Linked DNA regions of Oryzias latipes. The protein of the gene in region 3 interacts with the protein of the main gene of each other region in a biochemical or structural test. Links are inferred from orthologs where the notes say so. Each region holds a gene or a part of one and is shown on either strand. Other genes may lie near its edges. The genes, in order: e2f1, esr1, sp1, atf7ip, rnf4, retinoic acid receptor alpha-A and pou2f1.

What was found.
Region 1: the proteins of sp1 (region 3) and e2f1 form a complex in vitro, tested with the Homo sapiens proteins (4 studies listed by BioGRID and IntAct). The link is inferred for Oryzias latipes from reciprocal best matches to the Homo sapiens genes SP1 and E2F1.
Region 2: the proteins of sp1 (region 3) and esr1 form a complex in vitro, tested with the Homo sapiens proteins (6 studies listed by BioGRID and IntAct). The link is inferred for Oryzias latipes from reciprocal best matches to the Homo sapiens genes SP1 and ESR1.
Region 4: the proteins of sp1 (region 3) and atf7ip form a complex in vitro, tested with the Homo sapiens proteins (3 studies listed by BioGRID). The link is inferred for Oryzias latipes from reciprocal best matches to the Homo sapiens genes SP1 and ATF7IP.
Region 5: the proteins of sp1 (region 3) and rnf4 form a complex in vitro, tested with the Homo sapiens proteins (2 studies listed by BioGRID, with this or other methods). The link is inferred for Oryzias latipes from reciprocal best matches to the Homo sapiens genes SP1 and RNF4.
Region 6: the proteins of sp1 (region 3) and retinoic acid receptor alpha-A form a complex in vitro, tested with the Homo sapiens proteins (2 studies listed by BioGRID). The link is inferred for Oryzias latipes from reciprocal best matches to the Homo sapiens genes SP1 and RARA.
Region 7: the proteins of sp1 (region 3) and pou2f1 form a complex in vitro, tested with the Homo sapiens proteins (3 studies listed by BioGRID and IntAct). The link is inferred for Oryzias latipes from reciprocal best matches to the Homo sapiens genes SP1 and POU2F1.

What each region holds. Positions count from the first base shown.
Region 1 is NC_019865.2:2,000,237-2,004,433, forward strand, and holds the start of e2f1 (transcription factor E2F1), read right to left. Parts: upstream 2,801-4,197; 5' UTR 1,892-2,800; intron 1,802-1,891; 5' UTR 1,596-1,801; coding exon 1,344-1,595; intron 1,256-1,343; coding exon 1,156-1,255; intron 37-1,155; coding exon 1-36. Other genes in the region: znf341 (zinc finger protein 341), read left to right, coding at 3,312-3,342, 3,800-3,910. UniProt on the Homo sapiens protein: Transcription activator that binds DNA cooperatively with DP proteins through the E2 recognition site, 5'-TTTC[CG]CGC-3' found in the promoter region of a number of genes whose products are involved in cell cycle regulation or in DNA replication.
Region 2 is NC_019882.2:8,941,328-8,945,255, forward strand, and holds the start of esr1 (estrogen receptor), read left to right. Parts: upstream 1-1,128; 5' UTR 1,129-1,232; coding exon 1,233-1,243; intron 1,244-1,873; coding exon 1,874-2,293; intron 2,294-2,921; coding exon 2,922-3,136; intron 3,137-3,569; coding exon 3,570-3,686; intron 3,687-3,928.
Region 3 is NC_019863.2:10,441,023-10,444,144, forward strand, and holds the end of sp1 (transcription factor Sp1), read right to left. Parts: intron 3,116-3,122; coding exon 2,925-3,115; intron 2,267-2,924; coding exon 1,962-2,266; 3' UTR 501-1,961; downstream 1-500. Other genes in the region: cell division cycle-associated protein 7, read left to right, coding at 1-91, 341-383. UniProt on the Homo sapiens protein: Transcription factor that can activate or repress transcription in response to physiological and pathological stimuli.
Region 4 is NC_019859.2:10,796,342-10,799,731, forward strand, and holds the end of atf7ip (activating transcription factor 7-interacting protein 1), read left to right. Parts: coding exon 1-594; intron 595-670; coding exon 671-772; intron 773-870; coding exon 871-948; intron 949-1,066; coding exon 1,067-1,146; intron 1,147-1,940; coding exon 1,941-2,396; 3' UTR 2,397-2,890; downstream 2,891-3,390. UniProt on the Homo sapiens protein: Recruiter that couples transcriptional factors to general transcription apparatus and thereby modulates transcription regulation and chromatin formation. Can both act as an activator or a repressor depending on the context.
Region 5 is NC_019868.2:3,826,217-3,830,150, reverse strand, and holds the start of rnf4 (E3 ubiquitin-protein ligase RNF4), read left to right. Parts: upstream 1-1,134; 5' UTR 1,135-1,338; intron 1,339-2,067; 5' UTR 2,068-2,130; coding exon 2,131-2,142; intron 2,143-2,446; coding exon 2,447-2,612; intron 2,613-2,946; coding exon 2,947-3,029; intron 3,030-3,125; coding exon 3,126-3,138; intron 3,139-3,209; coding exon 3,210-3,324; intron 3,325-3,625; coding exon 3,626-3,677; intron 3,678-3,934. UniProt on the Homo sapiens protein: E3 ubiquitin-protein ligase which binds polysumoylated chains covalently attached to proteins and mediates 'Lys-6'-, 'Lys-11'-, 'Lys-48'- and 'Lys-63'-linked polyubiquitination of those substrates and their subsequent targeting to the proteasome for degradation.
Region 6 is NC_019877.2:4,427,169-4,430,668, reverse strand, and holds part of retinoic acid receptor alpha-A, read left to right. Parts: intron 1-858; coding exon 859-1,000; intron 1,001-3,500. UniProt on the Homo sapiens protein: Receptor for retinoic acid. Retinoic acid receptors bind as heterodimers to their target response elements in response to their ligands, all-trans or 9-cis retinoic acid, and regulate gene expression in various biological processes.
Region 7 is NC_019879.2:10,758,499-10,762,462, reverse strand, and holds the start of pou2f1 (POU domain, class 2, transcription factor 1), read left to right. Parts: upstream 1-1,164; 5' UTR 1,165-1,201; coding exon 1,202-1,247; intron 1,248-3,964. UniProt on the Homo sapiens protein: Transcription factor that binds to the octamer motif (5'-ATTTGCAT-3') and activates the promoters of the genes for some small nuclear RNAs (snRNA) and of genes such as those for histone H2B and immunoglobulins.

The DNA.
Region 1 (4,197 bases), on a different chromosome or scaffold from region 3:
TGTCGTACCTCGACTTCTCCGCCGTGCTTCGAGGAACTGGAAAAGCAGTGAAAAACACGCCGCCTTAAACCTCCTCCACAAACAAAACACACATCCAGGTGGAAAACAGGTGATCCTCCGACTCCAGCTGTGAAGACGTTCCAGCGGCACAGGCAGGCCTCGTTTGGACCACGCCATCGAAACTTTTATTTTCTTTAAGGTAATATTTATAACCAGCCTTTAAAGAAACTCCAAGCCCCGCCCTCTCTGACGTGGCCACGGGACCTGGATTTCGGAGCCACGGCGGGTCTTTTGGTGGTTTAAAAATAGAAATCCACCGATGAAGATTCTGCTGAAGGAAACATCTTAGAACTGAACGGTCAAATGTGGATTTCAGTGATAAAAAAACAAAAGGAACTGAGGCTCAGCCTTCAGCAGAAATTCTCCTTCAACTTCTCATCCCAACGGCCCCAAACGTCTGCGGACGGAAACGCTTCACGCAGCATGTGGACGCCATGATGTCATGAGTCAGTCTGAGCGTTACGCAATCCAAAAGATGTAAAATGATTGGTGGTCCTGTTCAAAAACACAGGACCTGGACTGCTCTATCCTGCATTAAATTAGGATTTAGATAGTAAAGAATTCATTAAACACAGTTTCTGACTCATGAAAATGTGAAATAGGAGGATTTTATAGTATTTTACGCACCGGGTCCTCCTAAGACCCGGTCCTTTTGAAAAACCGCTGGACCTGGACTCATTTTTATTTAATCATTTTAAAGTTTTTGTGGCTTTCCTGCTCGCAGCGCTCTGTTGTTTGGGATTCTGTTGCCTCCCCTCTTGTGAATTCGTGTCGTCTGCCTGCAATGCAGCTCACCAAACGACGGCAGACTAAAAATAGATCATTTTAAATTGATCAACTACATAAAATCATCCCATTTCAATGTTCATAAATCAGAAGCTGTGTTTAATGAATTCTTTACTATCTAAATCCTAATTTTAATCCAGGTTTGAGCAGCCCAGGTCCTGTGGTTTCTGAAAAGGACCTGGTCTAAGGTGGTCTTAGGGTGAAAAATGCAGTGGAATGTTCCTTTAGTGCCCCCGCTAACCGGACGCCAGCTTCAGCGCCGTGAAAGGATGCCGAGTCGGCGCTCCTGCTCCTGAGCGTGCGGCGTACCTCTGGGAGGAGCAGGAGTAGAAGGAGGTGCTTGGCTGGCGGAGGATCGGGTGGTGCTGACATACTGGTGGTCGCTATCCAGGTCCAGCTTCCTCTTCACCTAATCATCAAATGAAGAGGAATCGATTATGTGAACCCCGGCGTGTGATGATGTGGCGGCGGCGGCCGCCTTGAAGCCACGCCCTCACCGGAGGTCTTCCCAGAGCCGGCCTCCTCCTGTCCTGGCCCCCCGCGTCGGCGTGGCTCTGCGGCGTGGCGAATAGCAGGATTTCCCCCGTGCTGCTGGGGGCGGCCAGCGGGTGGAGTCCCTCATTGCTGGGGCTGGTGATGATGACGATCTGGTGGTCCTGGCTCAGATCGATGCTCCCGGAGTTCAGCAGAGTCTCAAAGTCCTTCAGCAGATCCTCGGATGTCTGACCCGTTATCAGAGTCTCTGACATGGCACTGCCTGCCGCCCAAAGGGCTCCTGCAGCAGACTGGGGGAATGCCAGGGAGGGTGGGGGCACCAACTGGGGTATCAAAACAGGCTCAGCACCAGGTGACCCCAAACATGTTAGGAGGACTTGAGGAGAAAATGCTGATCCATTAACCTCTCCTCCTCCTCCTCCTCCTCCTGCTGAAGGTTGACCTACAGCGAGCCTGAAATCTGCAGATCAACCACAGAGGAGTCGAAGGTTCAAACGTCAAGGCGAGACGTGGAGCCCAAACAGGAAACGACCCGCTGAGCGCATCCTACTTTAGGCTCACGCGCTGCTCGGCTCGCGCGCCGTTTTCAGCGGAAATAAAAGAAGGTCAAAAGACGAAGTAGAAGAAGAAACCCGCCGTAAATTGAGATCATGAGCGAGCTAGCCTGCTAGTCTTTCGTTTTCCTGTCAGAGGCCTCGCCACTCCGTCCTCAAACACAGAGCTACCAAGCTAACGAACTAGCTTACCACAAGAAAAGACTACAACAACTTTGCTAATAAACACGAACAACAGCAGAGGACTACATTTACCACCACTACCTAAAAGTTTATCTCCTTTTCCCTACGATATGGCTTCATTAACGGGTTCGGAAAACTTTATAGACGCTCACAGAACTGGGCTATCTAAGCAATAAAAAAAATACACATTCACTCGGCGGAGGCATCATGATCGCAGATCCACACCATCTTTGAGAAAATAGTTCCCAAAAGAAAGCAACCATCCGTCCGGGCGACGGCGACGACAGAGAGTTTAGCGCGGAAATACGGGGAACTTTAGCATGCTAGCTTCAGGGATTAGCTGCAGTTCTTCGGTCCCCCTCGTACTGTTGGGGCACGCAGGAAGCACTCGGAGAAACGCGGGAGATGCAGACAAAACGGAGGAAATACTCGCTCAAACGTTAAAAAATGTGCCGATGCTCCTTCGTCTGCTCGCCGAAGATCGGGTCCATCTGTAAACGAGCCGCGCCGACCCCATTAGCAGCCGTCATTGTTGTTGTCCCAGCTGATCTATATCTAAACAAGGCTGGACGGTTTTCGCGCGAAATCCTTTTTGCCGCGAAACTGGCACGTGGGGAAAAGCGACCGCTGGGATTGGCCAGTGGGATTCGTTTTGCGCGTGACGCGATTGGTGTCTTCCGATTGGTGGAAATGGCCGTCTGTCACGTTACAGAGCATGGGGAAAACTGGCCTTCCATGTGACCAGGTTGGTGTTCTCTGATTGGCGGAGATGGCCGTCTGTGACTCTCCAGAGCACAGATTTGCTGATTGGGAGGTGCATTCACGTTCCACGGACAAAAGGCTTCTTAACTGCTTTGTTTAGGAAATTTTAAACAAAATAGTAAAACACGTAGTGTCAGTTTCATGTAAGGTTTCCCAAAACTAAAAGATAAACTCCTTTACCATATTAAATATATGATGTAACAGTCTTTGCGTCCCAGCTTAAAAAAGTTACGTTTTTTCAATGTAGTCCCTAGCGCTCCCTCTCCGTTTAAGCAATCAGATTAACAAAAAATAAAGTTAAATCTGATTGCTTAGGAACTTTCTAAACTAGAGTTTTCTGGGGGTCTGAACCAAATGTGATAAGTTTTTTTCTATTTGCAAATATTAATGTAAGCATTTCATTGGGGGGTCTGCACCTAAAGTAACAGACCCTACCAATCGATCACCGATGGTAAACAGGAGCGCTGTAAGATGGCGCAGACAATATTCGAGGCGCTGGAAGGTACAAATATAGTCTTATTTACCGCGCAATTATTAAATATGTTATATGCCAAAGAAAACCACATCATGTAAATTAACTGGAGACTTGTTTGAACACTAAATCACCCTTTAAACGGGTATTATGTAGGCTGTAAGCACCCTGAACTGAAGGGTTCTGCCTGATCTGATGATGATGATTGTAAACAACCTGATTATATTTTAAAGATTAAGACTGTACTGCTATAAACGGCTTTTTTTGTAAATGTAATATTAATTATTTCTGTAATATAATAACTCATCTCGTATGTCAGTGTAAAAGCTGTACATGTGACAATAAAAGCTATTCATTAATATGTGAACATGCACTCCTCGCGTTATTGTTTCTGTCACTTTCATGGAGAAGCAGATCTTCTTCTAACATGTTGTAAAAAGAAAAGCTGTTACTGATGTTAAATCCCTGTTTCCCTCCATCCCCTCAGGCATGGACAACCAGACCGTTCTAGCAGTCCAGTCCCTGCTGGATGGCCAGGGGGGAGTCAATGACCCCAACAACCAGAATGTGTCTGCAGGATCCACCATCCAGTCTATGGGTAAGGAGCATTCTGCACCGAGCTCCACAGGACTGCTACAGATTAAGACAACTAAGCTCAAAGTTGCATTTCCGAGTATTCGTAAAAGATCGCATTTGTGACGTAGAAAATCCGCCGGGCGGGGCCACAGGCTCCCTGCTCCGCCCCATTCTGATGCATCCACTTGCAGACAAATAGGTTGAGGGGCTTTTATCTAGTGTGTAAACAAAGAGCTCTCAGCAACAAGGGGGTTGCTCTGTGCCAACAGTCACGCCCACAGCTCCTGGCGCTCTGCAGAATCTATGTTC
Region 2 (3,928 bases), on a different chromosome or scaffold from region 3:
TGAAGGCAGATTTGCCTGAAAGTTTGATTTCAAAGTAAAGATCAGAGGAAGGTTTGGGTGTTGATTTTTAATCTGAATGGTTTGGATTAAAGCTTTAAATCTCCCTGGCCAAAATCTGGAGTCCATCCTGACGCCTGTCTGCGCTCAAATAAAACACACACTTGTAATAAACCTGAACAGATGAAAAAGGTAATAAATAGATGAAACTAAGAGTGGGGCATCTTGTCTTTATTTTTCTGCTCTCGCATGTTGACCTGTTGCATTCAGGTCAGGTCGGACTTTAAAAACCTGTAAACGAAACAGTTGGAAATGCTGCAACATGTGCATTACAATTCTGAATGAACGAGGGGTATAATTGTCGTACTTTGTGAAGGTGGTCCGTCACGAAAATGAGGTCAATTATTCTAAGAGGCGTGCTAAAGCCATTTTTGGTGATTTGCTGGATACGTTTGCTTCCCAACCAGTCATTTTTTGCTGTTTCCTGGTGTTGCTGTCATCAATTTTATTCTAGGAAAAATGCAAAATGATCCATATCATCATCAAGACTACTTGTTTCCCACTTGACCCCAACATGTCTTGAAAATTGGGCTGTTTGTTCAAGAAAGAGTCCGGACAGGAACGAGGAGGAGGGCTTTTGTTCCCCCCTTCAGCAGTCGAGCATGCTCATGTTTATTCTAACATATAAGAAGATCATATCTTGATAAAATCAGCTTTATTTTAGCCCCCCCCCCCATTTTTATGTTAATATTATTCAAATCTAATTTTCCTGGAAGAATTTCAAGTCCATTTTTCTTTCCTAGTAATTCAAGTACACACAAAAAAAACTTTAAAGTGTAAATACTATTTTTTTCCAGAAATCTATGGCATCAGCAATTTGGCTTTAGTGGAAATGTTTTGCCACTTCCCCTTTGACCAAACCTTTTTTTTTGTGTTTATTATCTTTTTTTCCTCTTTTTCTGCATTTAAAATCCCCATTAATTTCCTTATTTGGAATTGATTGTGTAATTGTTGGCTGTCAGATTGAGATTTGACCCCCTGCTTTGTTTGCTGTGTTATGGTGACCTGGCACTTAAACACACCATGGTTATTGATTTGGCTGCATCTTTAATTTGTTTATCCTTTTTCAAACCTTTCCACTGGTTCCACCGAAGCTGCCCGTCTCGCTGCTAGATGCCTGTCAGGCAGGCAGAGAGGAAGCAGCCCGTGTTGCGCAGCACATCTGAGGATGATTCATGAGTAAGAGGTGAGTGGTGTCTCATGCTTGATTTTGCAGTTCTTCTTTTCTTTTTTTTCTTTTTTAAGCCTTTTTGTTTCAAAGCATCCCTGCTTTTATTTACCCAGTAATTAGGTTGAGTGCAGTCTTGGTTGTGTTTTGGCCATCTCACCACTAACGCCGCATCCTCTGCTAATAAAAGCTGATTATTCAGAGTCGCTCTGTTGGTTTGTAGTTTCTGGAAACCACACGACAGCCGGGGAAAGCTTTGCTTTAGACAAACGAGGTGGAAGGAGACAGGGAAGTTTAGGAATAACTATTCCCTGACATTCCTTTCTTTTCCTCTCTCTCCCACTTGTGACTCCCACACTTGAGTGTAAACATATTGGAGGAAATACTGAGAGACAAAACCAGCAGATTGGGAGGAGTCCTTTTCGTTATTTTTGGTGAGCTGAAGCTTTAGGGAGACGAGGAAAAAGGATCTTCTGGTCCCTCCAAGTAGTCTGACAGGCATTAATAGAAAGATGAGCCCCACACAGAGAGAAAGGGAAGACTAAAAAGAGAGAGGGAGAGGAGAACTCCACTCCCCCTCCCAGCAAATGGGAGAACAAGTCTAAATCATGCTTCTTATCGCCGCTGTTGTGCTGTGATGTTGCTCAGACAGAGCTCGGTGCAGATCAGGCAGCTGTTCGGACCAGCACTCAGATCCAGGATCAGCCCAGCCTCCTCAGAGCTGGAGACCCTCTCCCCACCTCGCCTCTCGCCCCGTGACCCCCTCGGTGACATGTACCCTGAAGAGAGCCGGGGTTCTGGAGGGGTGGCTGCTGTGGACTTTTTGGAAGGGACGTACGACTATGCCGCCCCCAACCCTGCCACGACTCCCCTTTACAGCCAGTCCAGCACCGGCTACTACTCTGCTCCCCTGGAAACAAACGGACCCCCCTCAGAAGGCAGTCTGCAGTCCCTGGGCAGTGGGCCGACGAGCCCTCTGGTGTTTGTGCCCTCCAGCCCCAGACTCAGTCCCTTTATGCATCCACCCAGCCACCACTATCTGGAAACCACTTCCACGCCCGTTTACAGGTAAGTGAGGGCAGTTTAGCTCCGAATGAGTCATGAAAGTGGACAAATGAGGGGGAGAGGTCTGTGTTTCAGCCTCTGCTGATTCATCCAACTGTTTGTTTAGGCAGACTGAGTTAAAAGGAAGTACTGAATTCCAAAAAATGATTATTATTTTGCTTTGTTTAATTACAAAAATCAAGGAGTTTGGGTGTTTTTCACCCACTGTCACACATGAGGAGCAGCCTTGGCGGAAAACTAGATATTTTACAATTTATGGCAATGACATTTAAAGTTGAGTCTTCCAAGTGCTTTTATAAACAAAACATTATTACATAATGACACAACCTTTTAATCTTCCACTTTATACAAAACACACAACTTTATCTTTTCGTAAAGGATCAAGCTTGGTCCTGCTTTCTAAATCCAGAGATTAAGGACTTTGTCAGAGACCTTGAGAGAGGAACAATACGTAAGAACAACAGAGGCTCACATGAATTTTGTTTTTCTGGTTCCGGTGGAAAACACAAGTCTGTTTTTGCACTTTCATATTTTTAGTCAGAATGTTCTTGATCATCTTTTGGCAAATTCTGTCCTTTATTAGCACCACAGAACCAGAAATGGTCAGATTAAGATTCACAACCTGTTGCAGATCCAGCCACCAGGGAGCCTCCAGGGAGGACCAGTGCGGCTCCCGGGAGGACACGTGCAGCCTGGGGGAGTTAGGCGCCGGAGCCGGGGCTGGGGGGTTTGAGATGGCCAAAGACACGCGTTTCTGCGCCGTGTGCAGCGACTACGCCTCTGGGTACCACTATGGGGTGTGGTCTTGTGAGGGCTGCAAGGCCTTCTTCAAGAGGAGCATCCAGGGTAGGAAGCCACACTAAAAAGTCTTCTGGATTTAGAAAACTGTCAAAAATGTCAAATCAGTCTGATCTGAAAAATTCTCAATTATACTTTGATAATCATCATAAATTGTGATATCGTAGAAATGACTAGTCTTAAATCAAAAGAATTGATGAGCGCACATTTAAGCCTTTGTGGTTAGTTTTTGGATCACAACAGTTGAAGAGAAAAGCTCCATCTGCTTGATGGTTCAGTCATGTTCACGATATAATTGTGTAATGAAGGATCAGTCAGAAGGTTACAAAATGTTTCCATGGCAATAGAAAAGCTAAGATGCCACATTTTCATCTTCTCCTCCCCAGATTCTTTTATCAGTGTTCCTGGCTACTAAATAACCTAAATCTAAACTGAACATTGGACTTGAAGGCTGAAAGTAATATATTTTTCTCCATTTCAGGTCACAATGACTATATGTGCCCAGCGACCAATCAGTGCACTATTGACAGAAATCGGAGGAAGAGCTGCCAGGCTTGTCGTCTTAGGAAGTGTTACGAAGTGGGAATGATGAAAGGCGGTGAGCACTAACTTCACCTGACAAGAGATTTTCCCGCCTCAGCTTTTTTGTTCCCATCATTTACCATTTTCTACATGAAAGCGGCCCTCAATATTTGTTTTTCTGCAACGCACACTCCGCAAGGGTGCAGATAAACTTGAACTTTAGCACGTCCCTGAAGATATTTACATCTCAGAAGTACAACTAATTATTACACATCCTGTTTGTTTTGGTGCCTCTCAGATAAGGGCATCTAAGTGTGC
Region 3 (3,122 bases):
GCCGTCAGCGTGAGGGCCGTTGTCCAACTGGAATCCTCTTTCCTCTGGCCCAGTACCACGGATTCTCTGACGTCCATTCTTACCTCAGCAGGTGGAGTACATGTGTTCATCAAGATACTAGTTAAGTTGAACTAGTAGTAATAGTTACTAAATACCAGGAGAAAATGTGCAGTTTGGAACATAAAAGTGGTCTGTTAGTTTTTGACAAATGGGATTCTGGATTTTTAACTCCAGGATGAATTTCATTAAACTCCACTAAAAGCTAAATTGTTTAACTCAGTAGATGGAACTTGTGCTTTACATTTGAAATGACGAAGCATGAACTCCTCTCTGCTTACAGCCTCCGTGAGAAGCTGAAGTGCGAGGAGAGTATGGGGATGTGAGGAGAGTATGGAGTATTGTCTTATTTTGTGCATGACCCGCATTTTAAACGAATAAATTGGTTTCTGACATGTGTTGAGTGAATGCTGAAACACAAGCTTGCCGTGAACTGAGAAAGTAGATTAATTTTTAATCAAGCTGTTGGCATTTGCAATAGATGTATAAACACATTATAAAATCCCTTATTTTAAAATGCAGGGGGGACATAAGAGCACTTGTCCAATAAACTTAAGTCACTTTTCTAAAAGGTTGTGAAGATACATTGCACAGATTACAGAGTTTCACAAAGCAGAACTAAAAGGAAAAAACAGCAATGCAAACCATAACTTTAGTAACAACATCCTGCTGTTTTTATATTTAGACATAAAAGAAAACTGATAGGTTTCATTCATACTTGTTCTCCAGTTTTAACATATGCATCATATTTGTACAAAGAAAAACAAAGTTCATTGACCAAAGCCAAACTTCTTTCCAGGCTCTTCTCTGGCAAACGACAGAAAATGAATGAACCTTTGGTTTGAGCTTGTAAACTGTATAAACATTATTGCAGTTTTTTTTCTCTTTTTTTTTTTGCTCTGGCCATAAATGACAGGGGAAAAAACTCAAATTGAAACTGAAAGTGACATTGCTCTCAAATTCTTAAAAGAAAGAAGTACCACAGGAAAGGAAAACTTAATATTACCACAATGTGTCAACTGGAAGATTGGTGCTGTATATAACATTCTATGAAAGCTTTGAAGTTTATACAGTTATTCTATATTGATTTATATATAATAAAAAAATAAAATGAAGATTGTGCATTCAGGAAAGACTAAAGCATTATCCTGCAATCAGGTAAGATGATCCTGCCTAATTTTGATTTTTACAAAAAAAAAAAAAAAAAAATATGTACACTTTTTAAAAAAATGCTTTGATACCACAGATATTAGAGTACAATGGCTTGAATGTGTTCTTACATCAGAGTTATCCCCAGGACTTGCTGGCAGACAATGCTTTTGGCCCAGTTTTGCTGCTGGGTAATTCATCCATGCACTAAGACAGTAGAAATGCAAGCCAATAAAATTACCCAATGTTATCACGACTATCAATCAAGTATTCAGTTTTAGAATCTAAAACATGATGTTTCCTTTGAATTTTAGGGAAATGTTTAACGGTGCTGTGGGCGGGGCAAGACACCTCTGATGCAAAGAGGGGCAAACAAAACAGTCCTGCAGGAAGTAGAGCGAGTGACTTAAGGTCACCTCTTCACTAAAGAAACTAGAGAATATTACTGGTCTTAAATTAACTATCAAATGTCTAATTTCAATCCCACTGGTTTAACTTTGTTGGAACTGGGGGGAAAGTTGGTCTAACTGCCATTCCTTTGCAGGGAAAATAAATTTCACAGTGTTTAATAGAGCATCTTAATCTATTAAATACTACCAATATCTAAATATAAAAATCAAAATTTGAATTTAGCATATATAATGTTGCATTGGTGACCCTTTTCTGTTTTAACACCTTGGAGGTTTTGCTTTATGCCCTTTTTTCTGTTTGTTTTAAGCCCAAATTCCAAACAGGGAATTTCCCCCTCTGTTGATTTAATAATTGTTTCCATTGATCTGGTGAAGGTCCACCTGCATCATATTGATACCACTACTGGCTAAACGAGCTAAGCTTTCTGCAGATAAGGTTTCCATGGTGACGATGGAGTGTTGGTCATTGGCCGACACTGCTCCGCTGCCTGCTTCTGTTCCTGCTGCCGGGGAAGCAGCATCGCCCGCTAACGTGGAGCTGTTGGTAACTGTCCCAACTTTCTTGTTAAAGTGGGTCTTGATGTGCTTTGAGAGATGGTCACTACGCATGAAGCGCTTGGGACATTCAGTGCAGGCAAATCTTTTCTCACCTGGAGAAAAGGGGAAGGAAGGGAGAGAAAAGAAAACATTTTAGGCACCTGCTAGATTGACTTTTTGCAACATAAAAGTACTCATTTCTTTAGACTGTCAGTATTTATCTTTTTATTTACAGCCATGGTCAAATATCAGCATCCTTGCAATTTTGTCAGATAATTATTGCAATTGTAAATGTTCATATGTTTATTGTTTTGGACTACAATTTTGGCACCATGTAAAAGCCTTTTAAGCATGTGATACTCCAGTAATTTGTGTTTAGACACACCTGTGGCACCTAACAGGTGTGGGCAATATAGTAATCCCGCCTACAGCCAGTTATAAATGGAGAAATGGAGGACTCTGATCACAGCTGTTCCTGTTCCTTTGTTTTTTCCAGCGCAAAAAACTAAAACACAAATACCAAAACATCTGGAACAATTCTCAGAAAAAAGTGTGACATTTTCGGACAGAATTGCCAGGGCGCCGGCCTTTGGAGCCATGACTACAACAGAGGCAGCAGCTGGACTCTCCCAGAAGAAAATAGTTATTTTATAGGCTTATACACGTCATTCGTGGTGAGGTTCGTGGTCATGACATTCCAGTACACAAGACCAATACTAGCAAACGCACACTGTTAAAGCAGGTTTGTGTAAAGTAAATCCTAATTTCTACCTGTGTGTGTCCTCCGGTGGCGCTGGAGCTCATCTGAACGCGTGAATCTTTTACCGCAGAAAGACCAGTTGCAGACGAAGGGGCGTTCTCCTGTATGCCAACGAAGGTGGGCTCGGAGGTGTGAGGTCTTCCCGTAGATTTTCCCACAGCCGCTTATGTGACAAATGTGCTGCTTCTTTTTAGTTGGATCACTGATTA
Region 4 (3,390 bases), on a different chromosome or scaffold from region 3:
TGGTTCCACAGGGCTCCATCCTGCAGCTCATAACCTCCAGCGCCAACAACGTCTCCACGCTGGCCACAGGCATCACTACTCAGAGTCAGCCGGGCACGCTGGTGCTGAAGACGGCCCCCGGGAGCAGCATGGTGGCTGCGGGGCAGCCTCTGGTTATCCAGCTGCCGCTATCGGTTAATGGCCAGACGGGGACGCTGGTCAACTTCCCAGTTTCTTCCTTGTCTGCGGCCACCTCACTAACCAAGGCTAAAACCACTCCCTCCACCACCACCTTCATTCTCAAGCCCTCTCCTGCGACCAACCCAGTATCGGTCTCCAGCTCAACGGCCGCCTCTCTCCCAGCAATTCAGGCCTCTGCGGGTCAGGTGTCCTCCACCCAGATCTCTGTGGCCCGTGCTGTGTACCAAGGCGGTGCAGGTGGAATAACTACTCCCAACGCGGGAGTTTCTGTGACCACAGCAAGGACACCGGCTCAGTCCGTCTCTGTGGTTGGAGCTTTGTCTTCTGCATCTTCACCTGCAACCTCTGTACCGGCGGCGACCGGTTCTACTGCCCCAGGACCCCCACAAGGGACGTCTCTAACTTCAAAAACAGGTGAGGAAGATGGAAGCTCTGCCTTTGCTTACTTTCGTTCTTCTAACTTAATAACTAACAAGATGATCTTATTTAGACAACCAAACCACCATAACCCCGCCAACCAAAGTAGTTGTGCCTGTAGCACGACCCAAAGGCTCCGTCATCGACCTTACCGAGGATGACGATGATGTTCAAGGTAAGACGAGTCCTTTTCCCCTTCATGAATTTATTGTTTTAAAAACTTTTCCTGTCTTTAATCCTGACACTAAGAGTTTTTTTTGTTTTGTTTTGCAGTGACAGGAGTGAAGAATGCAACAGTTGCACCTCCTTCTCCTGCGTTGCGTTCCAACCCAGTTACCAGCATTTCCACCAGTAAGAACAACCTAGCATGTTTAATTCATAAACAAACGACAGCACTTAAAGCAATTCACAATTATTGCTTGTTTTTTTTTTGTGTGTGTTTAAAAAAATCTTTGTGATTTATCTGCAGGCGCTGCAGCCAGGTCGTCCCCAAAAACCAATCAAAACCCCTCAAATCCTCAGATAACGGTGCATCATCGCCCCCCACAGGTGAGGATGTAGAAGTGCAACAGAAAATGTTGAATTTATTGTTTTTAGTTCTTATTTAGAATTACATGTGTCTGCAACTCGAGCATGAATGGAGAACAATTCACACAAGATTATACAAATAATAACAGCAGCTTCTGGCCCCCAAGGGTTTGGGTTTTTCTGTTTTTATTCACTGATGTTTGAGGGGAAAAAAGGAAGAAGAGCTCAAATGTAACAGAAGTGTCAATAGCAATAGGAGCCCGGCCACTATTGGCGACTGGCATCTAAAGTAAAGAGAACCTTTCAGACCCGCCATTATTATAGACCGGCCACTCTCCTGCTAGCTTACAGCCCATCACAAATGATCTCCTATTCAAACGGCATTTCTTCGTCTGCTCCTGATTCACAAAAATTTGAATAAGGAAATACTTCAAACAACAATTTTAAGCTTCATTTTCTTCTTTTCGGAAAAAAGAAAACTGGTCAAAAAGACAAGACTCTACTTTTTCTTCAGGGCTACATTTAAAAAATGAAGGTTTATTTTTTTGACAGTTTTTCCTTATTTTAAAAAGTTTTGTTGAACTACTTAAGATCACATCTAATTGTTTGGTTTTATTCGCATACGAGTAACAGTTGCCTGTAACTTCTGTCAAAGGATTATGGTTGTTGATTTGAAAACTTGAAAATGCTGAACTAATCCAGACGAGGGGTTTCACATTAAAAGCCTAAAATAATCAACTTTTCGTCATTTTTTTTCTGCACATCAAAAGTGACTTCTAGTGACTGCTTTCTAAACTTCTCTATGTTTTTCATAGGATGCTGCTTCCAAGCCCCGCCCCACAACCTCTGCAACAACACGGGGTCCGGCCCCAGCGCTCCCTGCTCTCCCCGTCGCCCCCGCGCCTACACGCTTACCCCCCGAGGCCGAACGCACCTCTCCTCCCCAACAACTGCAGCTGAAGCTGGTGCCGGGTCAAACCGGCATCGTGTTGTCCTGGAGTGTGGCGGAGGTCGACAGAAGCTGCGCCACCGTAGAGAGCTATCACCTGTACGCCTTTCACCAAGACAACTCCAACTCCAGCTCCGCCCAGCAGCACTGGAAGAAGATAGGGGAGGTGAACGCGCTGCCCCTCCCTATGGCCTGTACGCTGACACAGTTCCAGTCTGGCTCCACATACTATTTTGCTGTTCGAGCCAAGGACATTTATGGACGCTTCGGTACCTTCTGTGAACCTCAGTGCACAAATGTAATCACTTCCACTTCTACCTAAAACCGTCAGAAAAAATAAAAGTTTTTGTTTTTTTTGTTTTTTGCCTTTGAATGGTTATGGCAACTTCTTTTTTTCATTTAAAAGAAAATCCTTTTCTGTTAAGACTCAATGCTGAACACATGCAGTATCTGTAAATAAACCCACATCCTGGACTACTGACTGACTTGGAGGATCGCTGAATCAAATCTTCATTCTCACTGGTTCTTCTTTGTATGTGACGTATTATTTTGTGACTCAAACGTGTAAATATCTGATTGATCTAACCCCTCTGCAACGTCAGATATTTATGCTGTTGCCTCCCGCTGTTCCAGCCTTTTTTTCCACCTGTTTTTTTTTTTTTTTTAAAGGATAGGCTGCAAGATTCTTCATGTAAACTCAAATGCACAAAAATGTAAACTTGTGTGGTAGAAACAAAATAACTTTTGTAAGTTCTGTCTGGAAATGAGACTTTGACAAAAACAATAAAAAAAAGTTTTATTAAATGTTCGGCTAAATTGAAGTGTTAATGAACTGTTTTTAACCACGCTGTCAGACGGCACTTTAGCTTGCCTAAGCTAATTGAGGATGTGTAGGTTTGTGCTTGCTGTCAATAATTAATATGGTGTAACATCCCTGAACGCCACGCTGCTGCTGGTGGACCGGCGAGCACCGGTTAATGGCAGCTTTGGTAAAAAGGAACAGGAGGTAGCTAGCACCCATTGATGGTCATTTCCATAAGGAGAGATTTTAGGAATGCAAGGTAAGATTTGTTGTGATACAGACAAACGTGTGTGAAGTAAGTCCACAATCTTTGGCGGTTTGGCTCTGGGCTGATGACGTTAACTCAGACCTTTGGTGAATAAACCTTAGAGCAGGGTAGACCAAATCCAGACCTCGAGGGCTGACCAACCACCTGCTGGTTTTCCAGAAATCCTGCCTGCTCTGCTGTTAATTACCTGGATCAGGTGTGTTTAGCCAATAAGGAGCTTCAACAGCAGGTTGGAAAACATGTAGG
Region 5 (3,934 bases), on a different chromosome or scaffold from region 3:
TCAGGTTAGGTTATATAGACAGTGTTTAAGTCCTAATGTTTAGTTCCCCAATCTGATATTTCAAGTCAGATTCCCCCTAGATATGAATAAATACACACCAACTTTTATTTTAAGAAATTAAAAGCTTTTATGCTCTGGCGGGCCACAGAAAATGACATGGTGGGCCTTGAGTTTGACACATGTTGTAGACCCTTGATGGCTCCACAGACGTTTACATTGGTGCAGCTGCAGGTTCTGAGATAGAGATGAGACAGTCTAACCAAACTCTTTGTTCTGATGTAACTAAGTTCTTTTTTTTCAGACTCTGGTCCTCTGCCCACTAGGGTCCCTGCTGTGTGAACACAGCTGAAGCGAGTTTCTTCAGTGTTTTGCAGTGACTAAGACATGATTTTTGGTCCTTCTACGCATGCACAGCAGGATGTTAACGAGACACGTCTTCAACGTTCACGCTGAGCTCAGACAGGAACCAGGAAAGGACAGAAACAGGATCTCAGCAGAGTTTAGTTTATATATGATAAACTGACAGAGGGGGAAAAGCTATTAAAAACAAAATACAAAACAAAAATATATTTTTCCATTAATGTATTTACAGAGCACCTAACTATCAAGGAGCAAGGGTAGAATCCAAGGTACTAAACATAAAAGACACAATCATAGGATGAAAGAAAAAAATCATGACACATCAAAGACTAAAAACATCAGAAGATGATTATAAAATGGTCAAACCGGTACGGCTGATGGTTTGAGAAGGTACCGTCTAGAATAATAGGGTAAAAATGTATAAGTGATAAATCAAAAAATACTCAAAGGCCAAATAAAAAAGTAAAAGACGTTTTGTAAATGCTAAATTAAAAAGATATCTTTAATTATTTTTTTTTTTTTTAAATTTACATTTCTAAAACTAAGGATAAAATCTGCTCTTGATTCACCACGATTTGGAAAAAAAATGCCTAGAAATGCTTTTTTATTCTTAGTTTTTTTTATATATGTTCATTTGCCCCATGATGAAAAAAAATGCCGCAAAAATATGTCAAAAACTCAAAACACCATTTTCCTTTGAGTGTTTTATTTTGGTAAACACAAGGTGACCTGTCCACACGGTGGCGCTGCAGCTTTCAGATCAGACGCAGCTGCAGAAGAAGAGCCCGCAGACCGGAAGTAGATAGAGGCCCACACTCCACTGTTCTCCCAGATGGTGTCAGTGGTCCTGAGTTCGGTTCTGACTCGGTCCAGACAGCGTGTATAGCCTCTACCAGACTCAGTTCTTCGGATAACACTTTTGGAGTAAAATAAGAGGCCGAAAAGGCGCCAAGCAGCAAACGACAGCAACATCAAACGGTAAGAGTCGAGAAAGAGATCACCGAAATGCTGGTGTTGTGACAGAAATGGTTTACTTTGGAAACCGGCTCCTCACGTGACTCTGTACGTCAGTTCTAACTGCAGCCAGCGGTGGTTGAATAACTGCTCCAATCACTCTGCACGTGTGTTCTTGTTAGCTTGTTCGAATGAGACGTTATGAAATAGTTTTTTGATATAAAAAGCAGATGAATAAATCATATAACTGAGGACAAATGACCAATTGTACCTGCTACGGAAAGCGTGTAGGCACAAAACAGAAGCTGAGGACAGGGAAACACTGCTGGTGCTGGATGGAGCTTTTTTCGTGGCGCGGTGGAAGATCAAACGTCTTTCTTCTGTGATTGTAGAGTACATGTTTTAAACCAATGGAGATTAATGCATTTTAACAAAATGTTTCAATGGGCCATGCCTGACATTCTCTTTGTATATCTTTCTATCATACAAAAGTCTGACATAATCCACCCCTAATCCTCCTTGTCTGACCAAACATTTCTAGTCCCTCACAGATGACAACAGAAGAAACTCTCCCGACGTTTGAAAAGCAGTCGCGACAGTTTGAAATGGGACAGTTTTAGTAATCTATTTATAAAAATAGATACCTTCTTTTGATCCATCCTCTGGAGGAGCGGCGAGTTGCAGAAACAGCAGTGCTCAGGAACCATTTGGGGGTTTAATCCTAACCTTAACCCTTCCTCTGGGTCCCTGCAGCTCCCGAAGGCCCGGCCCCCCGCAGCTTCCGAAGGCCCGGCCGCCCGCAGCTCCTGGACGGACATGAGTAGCTCTGTACGTCTGCATGCCTCTCTTCATCACGCCCTGTAATGATAAAGGAACGTCTGCTTTCCTCCATCATCATCTGGAAAAAAGCAGTTTCTGTGGAAGCTGCTCTGAGCTGCAGTCAGCAGTTTCCACCTAAAGCTTCTGTGGAGCAGTGGGTGGAGCTTCATTCTGACCACACTGAAAACTGGCAGCAGCTTTCCTTGCTTCAGTGATGCTCACTGTGACTGTTGTGAACCTGACTCCCAGGTGTCAGGTCAGCCTTTGAGCTCACCTGAGGTGGTTGAGGCCCTGCGTGTTCATGTGTTTTCAGGCCCAGAGGAAGAGAAGGCCCACCGAAAGTCCTCGGGTCTCCAGGCCCAGCATCAAGACCAGCAGAGTTGCTCAATCCAGGAGAGCGGTCAACCGGGGGACTCATACCGGTGCAGACTCCGCTCCCCCTGCCGAGACCATCGACGTGATGGACAACACGGACGACGGTCAGTGTGTCAGCCTCCGGGAGCCTTTTTTTTCCCCAGGATTCACTTGGAAATGGGGTTTAGGCTCATTTTAAACCTCTGCTCTGAGAGCACGGGTCTGCTGTAAGCTTCAGCTGGCTCTGTCTTCATCCTGTAGCACGGCAGTGGAAGTGTCATGGTCTGGAGACGCTTCCAGCAGAAGCTTTTCTTTTGAGGAAGATTCAGTCTGACCTCTAGACCCAAACACAGCAGCAGCTTCTCCTCAGGGATCAAAGCAGGTGGTTGTAGTGCTGCCTGGAGGTTCTGACGGCCTCGCTGTCCTCAGGTGTTTGTAACCGACGGCTGGTGTGTGCAGGTGTGGAGGAGGTGGTGGACCTTACCTGTGAGGGAGCAGAAGCTGCTGTGGTGGACCTGACCAACAACAACGACTCTGTGCTGGTAACACGCTCTGTCATTCATCATTCACTTTGGGGGGGGCTGTGGAAACGGGCTGTAAGCTGATGTTCTTCTCTTGTTCTTGTCTCTGCGCTCCAGCTGGTGGATGAGGGTAAGTCCTCCTGGACCTCAGTGTGTGTCACCAGGTCATCTGAGGGTCACCTGACCTTCTGTTTGTGTTAGATCCTCAGAGCAGCACAGTCCCTGCAGGTGAGAGCTACGTCCTGAGCAGTGATGAAGATGAGGACACGCCCCTTTTCAGCAGCGCCGCCACCGCGGCGGCCGCACATGCATCAAGGTGAAGAACCGAACTCTGCGCCTGCGTTTAGTTCAGGGGAGTTGGGAGCGTCCCGGTGTGCACGCTCGACGGGGGAGCGTGCACACCAAAGCTCCCCCGAATCCATAGAGGTCACAGTAAATGTTGTGGTGATATTTAGAAAGGGATGAGCGGAGTGTGAACTCAAAACAGGAGGGTGGAGAACACAGACGGACTCACATCAGTTTGAGTAGGGCTCATGGTTCTGCAGAACCAGGACAGAAAGCAGCAAAGCTCCTCAGGTTCTTGAAGTAAAAGTCACTGGGTTCTTGTTGGGTTTCAGGTCGACGCCAGGCCTGATCAGCTGTCCGGTCTGTCTGGATCTGTACTCTGAGGTAAGAGAAATGCACGGGTGAGAGGCATGAACGAACCTGCCTTTGAAGTCTGAACCAGAACCCGTTTAAAGAACTAAAAACTCGGCATCTAAAGAGAACCTTTGTCTCATGGAAAGGTAACGTTTAGAAAAACAGCAGAAATGCAGACAGCTGTCCACCTGTGAAAGCAATCTATTCTCTTCCTAACTTTGTTCCTCTTGATGCTGTGAGAACAGCAGCTTGGCTCATAAAAGTGTTTCTCAGAACCTTCTGACTCC
Region 6 (3,500 bases), on a different chromosome or scaffold from region 3:
AATCAACAGAACCACTGGGATTAACGCAAATACTTTCTTCTCCTCGGTCGCATGGTATTAAAAATAACTAGATGCTTCTCCGCTGATTTGTTATTGTTGTCGAGTGTCACATGGGTATGTGTTTACAACGCCCCAAACGAGAAAAATAGAAGGAAGCTTTGGAATCATGTTTGGTTTGACATTTGCAGAGAAAATTCCTCTGGTACATGAATTTATTTGTGTTTGTAATCCCAAGGAATCAGAGGAAACTTTTGGATTTAGGAGGACAGATGCATTTATTGGCCTTACACAACCCTGTGATGCAGAACTCTTCCTGCACGCCTCTGTCTGCTGGCCTGGATCGACAATGACTTATTTGAAGCTTTCTGAACTGGGTCACAGTTGTGTGCCAACCACGTGGCTTTTGACCTAAAACCCTTTGAGGCTTTTTAACATCTCAAAAGCATTTTCTTTTTCCTTTAAACCTTATATAGACAAGCTGGTGGGCAACATTATGAGCCTATACGACTGTTGACAGTACAGTAGTTCTTCTGGCAAATGAGCAAGCTCCGCTGGTTTTCTGTAATAAACTGGAATGCTGTTGGCTCGGGGAAGAAGCCACCGCCATTTCCGGCTTCATTTCTAAATGGAATGCGCCATATGTCTCAGATTAAGCCCTTTATGGACTTAACTGCTTGATGGTTTAGTGCTTTTCATCTGCATCGGTGTGTGGTATTGTTGGCTTTTTCCTAATATCAACCCCTATTTCATCCTGAAAAACATGCTGCTTTGTTTTACCTGGATTAAAGGTGTAGCAGCATCCTATAGAGCCGTGCTGTGGTTTGTTTAGCCTCACCGCTGCGTTCTTCTGCCACGCAGGGCTTCTTTCGGAGAAGCATCCAGAAAAACATGGTGTACACTTGTCACCGGGAGAAGAACTGCATCATCAACAAAGTCACCCGCAACCGCTGCCAGTACTGTCGGTTACAGAAGTGCCTGGAAGTCGGCATGTCGAAGGAATGTGAGTAAAGATCCCCGTTGTTCCCACCTACACAGGATCTCATGTTGTTGGGTTTAATCGCAGTAGTTCAGAGTTTGTTCTCCTGCTTGCAGCTTTTAATTAATTTGGTTCAATTTTTGTGTTTTTCAAGGCTTTAAAATTACAGCTGAAAATCAATGCAGTGGAATAATTCTTTATTTGACTGCTGGGTTTATTGGTTCGATTTTTGACCGTAGAAATAAAAGCGGTCAGAGAGGCTCTGTGTCTCAGGAGATCAGATTTTGTTCTTCTTTTTTTAAATACAATCTTTTTGCTGCTCACAATGAGCCTAAATAAACACATTTATTCTTAAAAAGATGTAATAGACCAAAGATTTTTTAAGAAGGGCCTGAGAAGTTTCAATTAAATCTGAGCAAAATAAACTTTTTTGTTTGTTCCGTTGCTAGAATTAGACAAAAGTTAAGTTTTTATGGATTTCTGCCTTAATTCCATAGTTGGCCTTTTCATACAGATTTCATAGATTTAAATAGACTTTTTAACAGAAAAAGAAAGAAGTTAATACTTTTTTTGTTCTTATTTAACCTTTTAGGACCTCAATTTATCTCCTTGTTTCCCTTAATCATGTTGTGTGGGTTACCTAAACTTTGTCATGCTTGTGGTGTTTTAGTTTTAGGCTGCAATAATAAAATAATGAATGATTTGGTTTAGATAATGCACTATGAAAAAAACAATATTTTTTTCTTGTTTTTTAATCATAAATTGAGCCAAATTATACCAAAACTTGACTAATCCAAAAGGTACAACACATTTCATTGACGGGGAGGGAAAAACAATGAAAATATAAAAAGAAAATAAGTAATTTGTGAATTCTGAAGCTTCAATAACTGAAAACCTTTTCCAGTTTTTTTTGTAAGGTCATCAAAAGGCTGAACCTCTTGTTTGTTGGAGTTTATTTTTAAGATTTTCAAAAGAAAAGCAGTATTTTTTTCTTCTTCTTTTACCTAAATTGACAAAAAGAAGCCCTGAACCAGATGATTTGTTTAATGTTTTTTCCAAATACTAAGATTAGAAAATCCACTTTGAGGGTGTATCCATTTTTTCCTGTATTAGAGCTTTAAAATCCGGTTACAATTTTCAAAACAAAAATAACAAAAGTATATTTTATATCTTAATACTATATGCTTGTCATTCATGATGTATTTCTGATGTGACAGTAGTAACTGCAGATTCAAATCTCCACCCACGCTTTGGACAGTGATTTTCTTAAAAAATAAGAAATAAATGAAAGCTCTGGCTTTAATTCAGGTGTGTGTATTCATGGCCAATTGATCTTTTTTTTTCAAGACTGTCCATCGTATTGTCCTGTGAAATCATGAAGCTGCCATTATGTCCGAGATGGATTCCTCATCATTCCTGTGAAAGCTTTTCCTCCCCAGCTCTTCCATCCATCAGCTTCCCACAAATCCTATTTTATTTCAAATGATTAGCTGCAGCATTAGCCCGGTGAGAGTTTTGTCTGCGTTTGGTTGTTTAATCTGCAGGATAAACCGTGTTGGTAGCAGCGAGGGCAGAAGCGATGGAGACGGGCAGCAACAGTCGCCGTGTCTCCAGACTTGGCAGGCCTGGGTGATGAATATGTTCTCACCTGCCGAGAGTGAAAGAGCAGGCGTCTGCTCCCATCATTGCACCCCGGGGGCTGTGTGAACACACACACACGGGCAGTCAGACTTGATGAAGTAATTGGTGGAGGTGTGACCACGGAGAGCTCAAAGGCCAGCAGGGTTTATACCTCACCTGATCACATGACGCGGCGGCGCCCGCAGCCATGAGCTATAAATGCACTGCGTCCTTTCTCCCCACCTGCCTATAAACACATTATGTCTTTGCTACTGATGCCCCCCCCCCCCCTCCATATCCACAGCACTGTTGCTTACAGTTAAAAAAAAGTTATCCTCTGAGCTCCTTACCTTTGAACGGTGCCATTAATCATAGTTAGAAACACCACAGCAGCCAGTTCTTTTACACCCAATTTCACTTGGTGGCAAACAGCACAAAAGGTGGAGTTAGAGTGCCCTCTAGTGGTAGAAAAACTAAACTTTTGAAGAATTTCTTTTTTCGAAGGGACTCCTTTTTTGCTAATCATGTCCGATAAATACACCTCCTGTTTTATAATAAAGCCCTGTTCAGCCCAAACATTTTGTGCAGAGTGGGCAGATTGCTCGACTTTTTGTCACAGCAGTGACTTTGGCCCGCCAAACTGGTCTGGGTCGGTGCCGGAGGCAGCGGAGACGCGAACCATCTGCAGCCTGCAGGGACTCTCCGACAGCACGGGGCACGCGCCCGTCAGAGCGCTCGATTATGCACGCTCACCCGCTCACTGCGGCGTTACGCAGGTTCAAGGTGACAACACGGAGTGGAGTGAATTAAAATGCAAAGAAAGAAAGAAAAAAGATAAACAAGAAAGGAGCTGGGACGGTTCCACATTCAGAGAGCGTGCACCCACACATCCAGAAGGCTGGAC
Region 7 (3,964 bases), on a different chromosome or scaffold from region 3:
GTGAGAAGGAGGTAGATGATTCACTGTAGTGACTCTTAAAAAGAGCTGAAAGCCAAAAAGAAGATAGTTTATTAATTTGTAGTAGGATTCGGCAGGTCAACGTGTTAAACTCTAAGTCAAGAACAAAATGGAATAAAATAGTATTGTATCATCTGTCATATTCTCTGACAAATGTTGAAAGGATTTGAATGATCAACAAAGTGACCTGAAATCCGAGAGGGCCAAAGTGTGAACACTGAGGAACAGCACAGATCAGACATAACACTGTTTATAGCCTCAACCCATTAAATCCATTAAAGTCCTACTCCAATAACCTTTTGATCTATTTTCAAAGCGTTCCCAGTAGCGTTTTAATTTGGATTATTCCGTTTATAGCCAAAATAAAGAAAAACCTGTGTTGTTTTTCTAGGATATAGATTCTGCAGAGAGGCAGCAGTTCATCAGAAATTCACCTTTACATTGTTGGCAGGACCGTTGGCACAGAGTGTCCATCACCCTCCCATTATCCATCTATTTACACCTCTCCAGCTAGCTTACAGCCCCACAGAATCCTAACCTAACATCACTGGTGCAACAGAAAATGGTGATCAATATTGGAGCTTTCCAGTTGTATCGTTTTGAGTAAATATCCCAGCTTGGATGAAGAAAAAGAGACGTACATGGATCTATTTGTTTACAAGGATGCATCAGAGTGAAACAGAGCAGGGAACTTGTGGCCCGCCTAATCTATTTTCTGCGTCACAAGTATGATCTTCTTCCAACTGCATTTTTCCGTCTGCTCTTGTTTCACAATGAAGAATTTCAAAAATGCAATTTTGAGCTTAATTTTCTTTAACTCCTTCATTATGAAAAATGCCACAAGAATGTATTAAAAAATACTCAAAACAACGATTTTCCTGGGAGTGGGTCTTTAAATTATGTATTATAATTCATAATTTTAATAAACTTCTTATTTTTGTAAAGTAAAAGCTTATTATTTGTTTTATGTTTATTTGCAGTTAATAAAAGTGTTGTTAGAAACCTGTGCAAGATAAGATAATATATGTTTAAAGTATTTAAGCAAGCCAGAAGGGAAAAACTGTCCTTTTCTGTCCTCCGAACAGGTTTGTGTGCTTTGTGTGTGTGCACGCGCGCGTTTGTTTGTGCGCTCGCGCGCGTGTGTGCCTGACTCAGGGCTGGAATTTCGGGTTAAATATTCAAAATGGCGGACGGAGGAGCAGCGAGTCAAGATGAGAGTTCAGGACCAGGTAATGATTACGGCATTTTACATATTCATACTCGTATTCAAACGTTCTTACTCAGAATTTATGATACCAGAATACAGATGACTCGAAAAGAGACAAGCAGATAAAGCTTCGACGGAGCGGTGTTTTAGTTTTGCACACAGCTGGCCATCTGTAATTTGACAGAGGAGGAAACGGGCTATTGCAGTGCGACGGCAAATTACATGGAAACATGCCTCCCCCCTTTGTGTGATTAGACGGCTGTACGCCGCTACATATTCATATGTCTGTCGACAAATACAATTTAGCATATTTTATTAGTAATCAGCGTCGTGGCTCCGGTTCATAAGGAACGCATATGGCTGTATTTGTATTTGAGGGACGCAGTTTGATGGGACTGGGGGTGCTAGCTGGCTAGCTGTAGCGCCCGTGCTAACGCTCGGCTTTGTGTTGATGTACACTGAGGCTTTTGAGAAACGTTTGCATATTCATTTTTTACCAGCCGGGCAGTGGCCGCGCGCACCTCTGTACAAACATTTATCCTGGGTATTTCAATCTAAGCGTCGTATTTTTATTTGAGGCCGTCTTTTACTAGTTTTACCCCACGGCGTCAGCTCTGTGTCTCTCAGCTCTGAGGCTCTACTACATGATCATTTTTTCTCCTTTTTTTTTTTTTTAAATAGCAGAGCATTTTTCCCCCTTGCCTTTTGTGCTTGGCGCAGCGGAGCCACGGCAGCCTGTTGTGTTATTCATACACTGTAGTGTGGAGTTCAGCATATTCCATCCACGGTTGACGAGCTCGCCTTGCGCGGCACAACTTGCCAATATTTTGTAACGCGATTTTGTCGTCTGTTTACGTTAAATGAGCGGGGATAGCTTGTTATGGTTGTAATATAGACTGTACCTCCTGAGCTATTAATAATTATATTTAGTGTTATTTTGATGTTTTGTGTTAGATCAATGGTCCAAACCTGGCTGTTTTGTCGGTGTTTTTTTATGTGCGGGATTATGGTGGAAGTTGGGACTAGCATTGTTTTCATCGACTTGAGGTGGGAGTCGTCTGAGACTTGGTGGTACTGTTCTGTTTTGGCTTCACTTTATTATGGAGCGCGCTCGTGGCTTCTGTTGGACCCCTTTTAAAAACATTTTTAAAGCTGTTGGGCCTCTCTTTGTGTTTGGAGTTTTGACTTGGCCGAGCTGTACTAAATTAGGACTGTACCTGTACCCCCCTCAGGCAAAGGAAGGGGTGGTGAGGCCCACTTCCGGAAGGCCACAGTAATAACGGGCAGCACTCTTATTATTCTCCCTGCTGCTTTCATGACTGTTCAAGACACTTGAAGCTTGATGGCACTGTTTTGCCTGTTCTTTTCAAAATAATAGCCAAGGCAATCAGGGTTGTTCCATCTTAACTTTACCAAAAGATTCTATATCTTTGTAAACACCTTTTAGACAATTTTCTTTCATTCGTAAATATTCTAATTTTAGTGTTTCTTTTTTAAATAAATATTTATTTATTTATTAAAATTATTAATTTTAATTGTTGTTAATTGGTGTTCAATTGTTCAACTACAGGGTTGTCTTCACACAAGCTGTTTCAAAAACATCCCATAAAATATTAAAAATTTAAAATCAAATAAAAAACAGAAAAACGAGTACAAGCAAAGGTAAAATCTCAAATTGAAAACATTTTTTATATAAATCAATATAAGTCTAAACTTATGAAGAGTTTACGTTATTGCGGTTGACTTCATAATGATGATTTTTGTCTTCCCAAAATGCTCTGTAGCATTACTTTAAAATGTTTTTAGAAGTTCAACTGTAGAAAAAGTACAAAGACTTAGATTTTTTTCCCCATAGATTAATCTAAAGTTTGACTGTTTTGGCCTTAAAATTTGACAGAGTAAGGGCTTTTTGCAAATTTGTGTTAGGTCGTAATTTAATTTAAAAAGGTCCATTAAAATATGTCATTTTAATCAAATTATTAAGTACCAGTAAATAAATAAAATTTGACTTTCAAAAATGGCACAGTGTTGCATGTCAAGTCGAATCGCAGTCATAGAACTCATCACACATGAATGGCTGAGGAAATAGTTCATTTTGCTTGTGTCACAACACTGAAAGTGCAGGTTTCTTCAGTCTTTTGGATTTTATGATTTCTTGTTCTGGAAATATCCTTATTCTTTTCCCTAAATATCCAACTTAATAAATAGTGCTTTCCATAGAAAACACAAGAAATGTTCCATCATCCCACTGAAGCTACTTTTCTCATTTTCAGTTTCCAGTTTCCCCCTCACGCCAGCCTTGTAGTTCAATCATGAATATTCATTGATGTAAACACAGTTGCTATGAATAATTCATCACCCGGTGTAATAAATTCAGGACATGCCACCTCAAAGTACTGAGAAGGCCTCGATGAAGGCTCTAGTCAGACAAGCCTGTTCACTCTAGAGAAAGGAGAAAAAAAATGTGATAATAGGAGTTTTGTGTCTCCTTAGGAATAGACTAGTTGTTTCTGGTGATTTTCTGCTGAAATGAATCATTCATGACTGTATAATGCAAAACAGAAAATTCGTAAATATAAAGAGGCCATTTGGCAAAATAATGCAGTCTTTTTTTTTCCATTATTAATAAACAAAATTGCATTTTTATTCATGAATTTGAAAAAAACTACTCCAATGTATTCAAAGAAAGTCACAATGAACTTTTTACGTGCATGGGATGATACATTTAAAATGAGATAC